2 linked regions of the Schizosaccharomyces pombe genome follow. Changing the gene in region 2 together with the main gene of any one other region gives a genetic interaction. Each region holds a gene or a part of one and is shown on either strand. Other genes may lie near its edges. The genes, in order: orb6 and psu1.

Region 1 (4,874 bases), 810 kb from region 2:
CTCTCACTTTCCATGATTTCGTATCTTTCAGAAATCTTAGTTATGCTTAATGTAAAGTAACAATGCTTGATTTTGTTACTTGAAGGGTGTTAAATAAATCACGAACTTGCATTATTCATACATTAGAAAAAACAACCAAAATACTACAAAAAGTAGTCTTTTTGAGCTAGCCATTCTAAGAATAAGAATTCGCTTGATTTAAATCTCCCAATTGCCTCTACTCAAAGTTGTATAAGTATTGTTTAGCATGTCTCTTGAAGAGAATGTAAAGGAAGCGAAAAACGCTTTTAACATTTTACAGACATTATCAGTGGAAGACCGTGATGATGCATTGGATAAAATAGTTGAAGAACTGCGCATAAAAAAGTCAGAGGTTCTAGCTGCAAATGCTGAAGATATGAAAGCAGCTAAGCTCTTGGCTGAATCAGGAAAACTAAGTTCATCGATGGTTAAAAGATTGGATCTGTCTTCATCTGATAAATACGATTCCATGGTACAGGGTGTTTTAGATGTTAAAAGTTTGCCTGATCCCCTTGGTCGTGTTACTTATGCTCGTAGTCTTGACGATGGTTTGGACCTTTATAAAGTCTCTTGCCCTGTAGGTTTATTGCTAGTCATTTTTGAAGCTAGACCTGAAGTAATCATTAATATTACTTCCCTGGCTATCAAATCTGGTAATGCTGTTGTACTTAAAGGAGGCACGGAATCAGCAAAGTCTTTCGCTGCACTTTCTAATGTTGTTCGCTCTGCCTTGGGCAAAAGTAAGGTTCCACAGGCTGCTGTGCAGCTTGTTCAGAGTCGCGAGGAGGTATCACAATTATTAAAATTGGATGAGTACATAGATTTGGTTATTCCCCGCGGCAGCACTAATCTTGTACGCCATATAAAAGATAACACAAAAATTCCTGTTTTAGGTCATGCTGCAGGACTATGCTCCATGTACGTCCATGAGGATGCTGATATGGAATTGGCTAGTAAACTTGTTCTGGATGGAAAAACTGATTATCCAGCAGCATGTAATGCAATTGAAACTTTGTTAATTAACGAAGCTGTTTTATCTTCTCATCTTCCTAAAATTGCTGAAACTTTAACTGAAGCAAAAGTTACATTAAAATGTGATCCCGCTTCTCTTAAGGTTTTAAAGGATATGCCAAAAGTTAGTGCTCTAGTTGAACCATCTGTCGATCAAGATTACAACACTGAATTCTCTGATTTGATTCTTGCTATTAAGACTGTACCTTCCTTACAGTCCGCAATGCAGCATATAAATACACATGGTTCTAAACACACGGATTGCATTATCACTTCTAGTGAAGCAGCTGCTAACAGATTCATGGCTGGAATTGATGCTTCTGGTGTGTATTGGAATGCTTCAACCAGATTTGCCGATGGTTTTCGTTATGGTTACGGTACCGAAGTTGGCATCAGCACCAACAAAATTCATGCTCGAGGACCAATGGGTCTTGATGGGTTAACTATTTACAAGTACCAACTTAGAGGAAATGGTCAAGTTGCAAGTAGTTATGGAGTTGGACCTGGCAAACGCGCATTTAAACATACCCCTATTAATATAGACAATATTTCTCAGGTTTCGAAAAAATAAACACAAAAAAGATTTGAAAATTATGTGAAATTGTCAACGTTTTGGCTAGCTGCATTTTGGATACAAATCGGTTAGGCTTTTTTTGTTTACTTGTTTGTCTATAATATTTAAATGGGAGTTTCAATAATGTGAAGTTATTAAATGAAGAGTAAACACCAAATTAAATAGATAACTATTCCTGTAGAGTTCGATCCACCACCTTTAGTTTTTATTACACAAATATTTTTATGGTGAAGAACGAATTGATGTCTCCGTCCGTCTTTTTTGACTATTCATTTCAATTCAGATTCTAAAATCTTCGTAAGCTAAGATTCTTGGCTTCAGTTAGTAGCGTCGTAATATTGAACAGGGAGGGTTAGGAAATGCGCGGAGCTTATCGCAAGCGATCGTTGAAGTTATATAACAAACTGCAGAAGTACTTGCTTTTCCAGTATCGCAGTTTAACATATTTTTATCGGATTATACCTTAGCTGGCAGTAGTCCTATAATTAAAAAAGCATAATAGGACTTGTCATTTACCATATCCGATTTATCACTGTCTCATTTCTGTTTTGCATGTCTTGTTAATTCATGTTTTAAGCGATTGAATTTCAATCTTTTAACAATTTCTTTTTGTTAATTAATTCGTTGACCTTGTAGTTGATTCTAATTAGTGTAAAAATTCCATTTATTGCAACATTTCTTTCAATATGGATAAGAATGATTACTTACACTTTGAACGGAACCCTTCATTATTTCCGAAATCAACTTTAGACAAAGTCCAAAAGACAAAGAAATATATTGAACATTATTACAAGGTGGCAGTTGATCATGCTGTAGAGCGCAACCAAAGGTACGAGTAGCATTACTATTCAGGGTTCTAGCATTGTTTCACATTCCTCAATTAGTATTCCCATCTTATACGTTGATCGGATAAGTATCAAAGACGATGCTTTTATTAATTCTTTCTCCGTTCTCAACTTCGCGTGTTGCAGTAAATGCATAATCTCGAATGTTTATAAAATCTTAGACAGCTTACTCATCTTGTTTCGAAAATGTTAATTAATAATGCTAGCTTCCGTTTAATTTACTTTTAGGTATAAATACTAATTCTCTTTAGACGTATCAATTTGGAGCAACGATTAGCAACCGAAAGGGGTTCTGAGGAGAGAAAGAATAGGCAGTTAAGAGCATCTGGTGAAAAAGAGTCTCAATTTCTTCGATTTCGTCGTACACGGCTTTCTTTAGAAGATTTTTCTACCATCAAAGTTATTGGGAAAGGTGCATTTGGCGAGGTACGTTTGCATAATTGTTTATGTTTTTGGTATCTAATTAAATAGGTTCGGTTGGTTCAGAAACTCGATACGGGTAAAATCTATGCCATGAAATCTTTGCTTAAAACTGAAATGTTCAAACGTGACCAGCTGGCTCATGTCAAAGCAGAACGCGACTTATTAGTTGAATCTGACTCCCCATGGGTGGTGTCATTGTATTATGCTTTTCAAGATTCACTGTATCTTTACTTGATTATGGAGTTTTTACCAGGCGGTGATTTGATGACCATGCTAATAAATTATGATACTTTTTCAGAAGACGTTACTCGCTTCTACATGGCTGAGTGCGTTTTGGCTATAGCTGATGTTCATCGAATGGGTTATATTCATCGGGATATAAAACCGGATAACATACTGATTGACCGGGATGGCCATATAAAACTTTCTGATTTCGGACTTTCCACTGGTTTTTACAAGCAAGATCAGAGTGCCTCTTACATGAAACCTCGCACAGGAAATACTGTCAAACGTGGTCAAATGGTAGATGCTATCTGGCTTACAATGTCTTCCAAGGACAAAATGGCTACTTGGAAAAAGAACCGTAGGGTGATGGCCTATAGCACTGTGGGTACTCCTGATTATATCGCTCCAGAAATTTTCTTGCAACAAGGGTATGGTCAAGATTGTGATTGGTGGAGTTTAGGCGCTATCATGTTCGAGTGCTTAATTGGATGGCCTCCCTTTTGCAGTGAAAACTCTCATGAAACTTATCGAAAAATCATCAATTGGCGTGAGACTCTGACTTTCCCAAATGATATACATTTAAGCATAGAAGCTCGTGATTTGATGGACCGACTTATGACAGATTCAGAACACAGATTAGGTCGTGGCGGTGCTATTGAAATAATGCAACATCCTTTCTTTACTGGAATCGATTGGGATCATATACGAGAAACTGCAGCTCCATTTATTCCGAATTTGAAATCTATTACCGATACACATTATTTCCCTGTTGATGAGCTTGAACAAGTTCCTGAACAACCTGTCACACAACAACCTGCTTCTGTTGACCCTCAGACGTTGGAACAAACCAATCTGGCATTCCTTGGGTACACTTACAAAAAATTCAATTATTTAACGATGAAAGGAGCATTGTAAGACTTCTGCAAGAAACTCCATAGCTACTTTGTTCATTGTCCTTTGAGCATCTAACTATTGTTATCGAATTTTTTTTATCGTTAATTCATGTTTACCTTCTTTTACATTATTTTAGCATAACTAATAATATTACCAATTACTTTTTTTTAATGTTGTCCCTACTGATAAAATCTTACATGCACTTCTGTAAATATTAAATTCGTTGCATAAGAATTCCAAATTAATGCATAGATTTTATTAGGGAAAAGATAAAAAAGAGTGAGTAAAAAACATGTATTAATAAGTACAACAGGATGTTAACGCCAAGAAAACCAACCAAAATAGTAAACAATAATTATGAAATGCGGATCATGACCCATAACTAATAGACAATTTCTAATTGAACAGTGGGAACCCCAGAATTTTAACATTTTACCAGTAAACTGACTATCGTCTAAAGAAAGTTTCATATACTAGAATTGGATTAATGAATTAAATGCCTAATCTCGGCTTTTTAAATATTGTTCAATTTCATCGACAGATGGTGCATTGGCTTGTAAAAACTCACCGCTCTCTTGCTCAAACCGAGAGCGGACAAAGGCATCGTTTTCCATTTCCACAAATATGTCGGTGTCCGTAGGACGTAAAGTCCTTCGTAACATTTGGGCAACAATATCAATTGTTAAAGCACAAACCATTACAAAAAGCATAGTAAGCCACCATGAAGGATTTTTGCCAAAATGATGGAGAAACTGTGATCTAGCAAGATATAAATTCTTGTCCGGATAATGCTCGCTTATAAAGATATTAAATAAAAACCAAGCCAAGGACGTTAAAACAAGTACTATTATAGAAATGATGTTTATGTATTGCATCTCTAT
Region 2 (4,414 bases):
AGGAGAGTTAAAAGGATATGCTTCAGGAAGAAAGAATTCCATGACTAAATCCGGGAAATGCCTCACTACGATTGTATCTGTGAGCGTAGATTCATCGGGAGACTTAAAGGAAAGGAAATAGTCGCTCTCTGTATTAACTGGTATGTTAAGCCGACCATAGTTATTACCATCCAAGTGTATTTCGGGATAGATTGATTGTAAAGCAATTAGTTCATCTGCAACTAAATGTTTGTTATCTGATTCCACCTCCACCTCCAACATACTCAATAAAATGCCCGAGTTTACCAATAAATCACAAAGAATTTGGAGCAACCTTGATGAAACAGTCAACTAAGAAGACCAAGATTTCAAGGCAACAGAAAAGTGAACAATTCAAAGAATGTGTTTTGATTCCAGAATAATGAAAAGACGATTTCTGCTGGCCACCTCAGCAATTAAGAAATCGCCATTTGGTAAAATTTCCGGTATGAATTTACATTAGTAAGGCAATAAGAATATGCTGTCTCTCTTTTTACCATGTAAGAATAACGTGTCGTTAACCAAATGGACTGTAAGTATGCTAAACGTCACTGTGTAAAATAATGCAGTTTTCTATAGCTCCTTTCAAACTAAGCAAAGGAAAAAGACGTTAATCTACTCGTGTGCAAAGTTTTCCATGCAGGGTACCGAAAATTCTTGACTTGCAACAATTCAGAATATACTTATATATCAATTTCGTCAAGTTAAAGTATTGCTCATATCTGAATATGTAATAGACCATCAGTTGGTCTAGAAGAAAAGGAATTCTTCTCCAACCATGGTATATGGTCCAAAACAATAAATATTAATGAAACTATAGTTAAGAAATGAAGGGCATAGTATTTTCAGCTTCCTGAATATGAAACGATTTGTTTTGTTTATGGTTTGATCTACCTTAAGCAGCGCGTCATCATTCCGATCCGTTAAATGTTTAAAGTAAATGTAGTCTGATGTTGAAAACGCAAGATTGTGTACTACGGTATCGTGGTATGATGGATAAAAATAGAAATTGATTAGCCGATGAAAACCATCCCGTAAGCTTCTTTGGAACGTCATTTTACGATACGTAAAAACGAGATCGATAACTAAGCTTTACGACGTCAAGAAGATGGCCATATTAAACGAGGTTTTAAAAGTAAAGTTGGGGTGTACGCTAATTAAATTATCGATAAAGAAAACTATGATGTGGTAAATGAAATCATGATTAATTAATTGAGAAAATTAGTAAACAAAGAAACTTTAACCTCTTAAAAACGTAAATCAAGGAGATTTTGAAAAAAACAATATCAAAAGAAGCTCTATTTGCTTCACGTATAAACAGGGTTTATTTTAAACAAAAGAAAACGGTACCACCTCAGCAAACGGTAGAAGCTCTTACAGAGTACTTACTGCACTTGGTATCGTAGTTTAGCGAGCTCTAGCCCATTGCAAAGCCTCACCTTAATAAATTAATTAAATATATTACTCCACCAATCATTTAGTCGTACGTGGAATATAAAGTTGCGGTCTCGATTGTCCAAGTTTCACCGGTTCCGTGACGCGTTGTGACTGCTTCCGCGATAGGTAAAAACAGGCCCTCTCCCTACCAAACCTGCCTGTCGTTTACCAACAACCGTCATTAGAAATCTACAGCTAGCTGTTATAATATATTAATAGTTGGATACCGGCCTGTATTCCTATATACCCAGAGATACATTCAAGCAAACTTTCTTTTCTTGACTTGTCTCATCTACTATCGTTTTAAAGAATTTTTCTTCGTTCGTTCCTTGAATTTTAGACACATATAAACCTTCTCTATCTATCTATCCATATATCTTTTTTGTGTATAATTTAGCAAAATGCGTTTTTTCGAAACTTTAGCACTTGCTCTTCTTACCACTGGCGCTTTGGCCGCCCCTTTCCGCCATCCTCATCACTTGCTTAACAAGCGTGATGTGTCCGTCGTTACCTCTAAGGTTTACGCCTATACCACCGTTACTCTTGAGGCTGCTGCTTCCGCCATTTCTACTAACGGCGCTGCTAAGGAGGCTGCTACTGCTGCTGGAGACGCTGAGACCACCAGCTCGGTTGCTGCCTCTGTCACTCCCGCTGCTTCTAGCTCGGTTGCCGCTTCAGTTACTCCCGTTGCTTCTAGCTCCGTCGCTGCTTCAGTAACTCCCGTCAGCTCTAGCGCTGTAGTTGACTCTGCCACTTCCGCTGCTGCCTCTTCTAGCGTCATTCCCACCTCCTCTAGTGTTGTTGCTAGCTCTAGCGAAGTTGCTTCTTCTACTACTTCCTCTGCTGCTGCTTCTGCTACTTCCACTGGCAGTAGCTCTGGTGGTTTCCAAGACGGTGTTTACGATTGCACTGATTTCCCTTCTGACCAAAGCGGTGTTGTTGCTTTGGATTACCTTGGTTATGGTGGTTACTCCGGTATCCAAATTGGTGATGGTGCTGGTTCCTCTTGCGTTGAGGGTGCCTACTGCTCTTATGCTTGCTCACCCGGTATGTTGAAGACTCAATGGCCTAGTACTCAACCTTCTGACGGTGAAACCCGTGGTGGTTTGCTTTGTAAGGGCGGTAAGCTTTACCGTACTAATACTGCTTACGATAACCTTTGTGAAAACGGTGTTGGCACTGCTTCTGTTCAAAACACACTTGGCCAAGGTGTTGCCATTTGCCAAACCGATTACCCTGGAAGTGAGAACATGGTTATTCCTACCTATGTTGGTGGCGGTGCTACCTCTCCTTTATCTGTCACTGATAACGCTAACTACTTCCAATGGGAAGGCAAGGGTACTTCTGCTCAATACTATGTTAACAAGGCTGGCTATACTGCTGAACAAGGATGTCAATGGGGTACTTCTAGCGGTGACTATGGTAACTGGTCTCCTCTTGTCTTTGGTGCCGGTATGACTGATGGTACTACTTGGTTGTCCATCTCTCAAAACCCCTTGACTTCTCAACTTGCCAATTACAATGTCAAGATTGTCGGCGCTGATGGCGCTTCTGTTAGTGGTACCTGTGTATTTGAGAACGGTGCTTTCCAAAATGGTGGCAGTGGTTGCACTGTTGGCATCACTTCTGGATCCGGTGTCTTCGTTTTTTACTAAGTTCCCTAATGATTGCGATTTGGGACGTAGGGGATTTTTTTAATATCTGCTTGAACGCTACTTTTGTTAATTTGTAATCCGTCCTTACGGTCAAATTTCTTTAAATTGTCCTTATTAGACGATGTTACAGGCTTGTTTATGATCGAATTTTTATAGATTCGAATTTCTGTCTGTCTATTTTGTTCTTTGCATTGACAGTGATTATTTGGAATCCTATTTCGCACAGAGCCGCCGTTCTTTGCTTTGGACATTATGTGATGTGTGTTGTCTTTAAACCTAATTTTTTTTAAACGTATGAATATTGGTCTTGAAGGATTTAACTTGTTTGTTTGAAAAATGCAGTTTGTTTTCACCAGAAGGAGGTGCATTTTTGAAGCAGTTTGGAAACTTTGTATACGTTTTTGTTAAGTCCTTTCTCTCATTTGGGTTGAAACTTTTTTTTCTTTATTTCTCTTTAAGCGCTACTGCTATTTTACCTTCGTTTTTTTAAATGTTATTTATTACGATTTGTTAATAAAAAAAAGAATTGTACAAACTGATAATCTAATCTAACTATATTTGTGAATAAATTAATAATGTGAGTAATTGAGTAAGTGAGTTTTAAGTTTTGATCTTTTTTGTACTTCTAATTTTTTAGTGTAGGATGAGACACCTGTTAAATTAGTTAGCAAAGCTGCGTTGTGTATAAAAGATAAGATGCATTATTATATGGTGGATGTTATATCTTGACAGATAAGTAATGGATCTTCGCCTGGTTGGGAATCAATTCGCGCAACGAGAATATAAACGACGGACCAAAGGGACTAACCATTGCAAAATTCGTAAGTATTTTTAGTCATTTGATAAGTTTTTGTTGTAACTTGAATGAAATTTTTTTTTTTAAAATACTTGAGCATGGTTTGATTGATATGTCATGGAGGTGTACACAGTGACTATCATTTGAAGAGCGAATATGAGAAGTTAAAAATTTATTGAAACAGCGAGATGCTAGAAGGAGCGAACACAAGTGTTTGAGATGTTATGAAAATTATCTAAACGAGGCAAAAGGTTCAGACATTTCTAAACTGATGCTAAAATGATTTTGAATTTATAAAATAGCAGCTAGTTTATTAGAATGCTTGAACATTTGTAAAATCATTTTTTAACAAGGGCTATAAATTTTTCGTGTATATAAAACTTGAAGAATGTAAACAGTGAAAAAAACCAATCAATCGGTTGGTTTTTTGAAATCAATATCTGATCTACTGTATGTAAATAAAGAAAGGACATCGATAAAATCCAACGGAGGAATTCAAGTTCAATAA

The links.
Region 1: of psu1 (region 2) and orb6, extra expression of one rescues a mutant of the other (dosage rescue), as found in Schizosaccharomyces pombe (one study listed by BioGRID).

Annotation. Positions count from the first base shown.
Region 1 is NC_003424.3:1,006,147-1,011,020, forward strand, and holds orb6 (serine/threonine protein kinase Orb6), read left to right. Parts: upstream 1-2,116; 5' UTR 2,117-2,292; coding exon 2,293-2,435; intron 2,436-2,702; coding exon 2,703-2,877; intron 2,878-2,922; coding exon 2,923-4,014; 3' UTR 4,015-4,172; downstream 4,173-4,874. Other genes in the region: gamma-glutamyl phosphate reductase Pro1, read left to right, coding at 248-1,603; dnf1 (P-type ATPase), read right to left, coding at 4,494-4,874. UniProt on the Schizosaccharomyces pombe protein: Interacts with pak1/shk1 and coordinates cell morphogenesis with the cell cycle. It is essential for maintenance of cell polarity and is involved in mitotic control.
Region 2 is NC_003424.3:1,820,632-1,825,045, reverse strand, and holds psu1 (beta-glucosidase Psu1), read left to right. Parts: upstream 1-1,615; 5' UTR 1,616-1,856; coding exon 1,857-3,110; 3' UTR 3,111-3,645; downstream 3,646-4,414. Other genes in the region: itt1 (ubiquitin-protein ligase E3), read right to left, coding at 1-261; SPOM_SPAC1002.20 (uncharacterized protein), read right to left, coding at 769-1,074. UniProt on the Schizosaccharomyces pombe protein: Involved in cell wall synthesis. May be required for the activation of 1,3-beta-glucan synthase.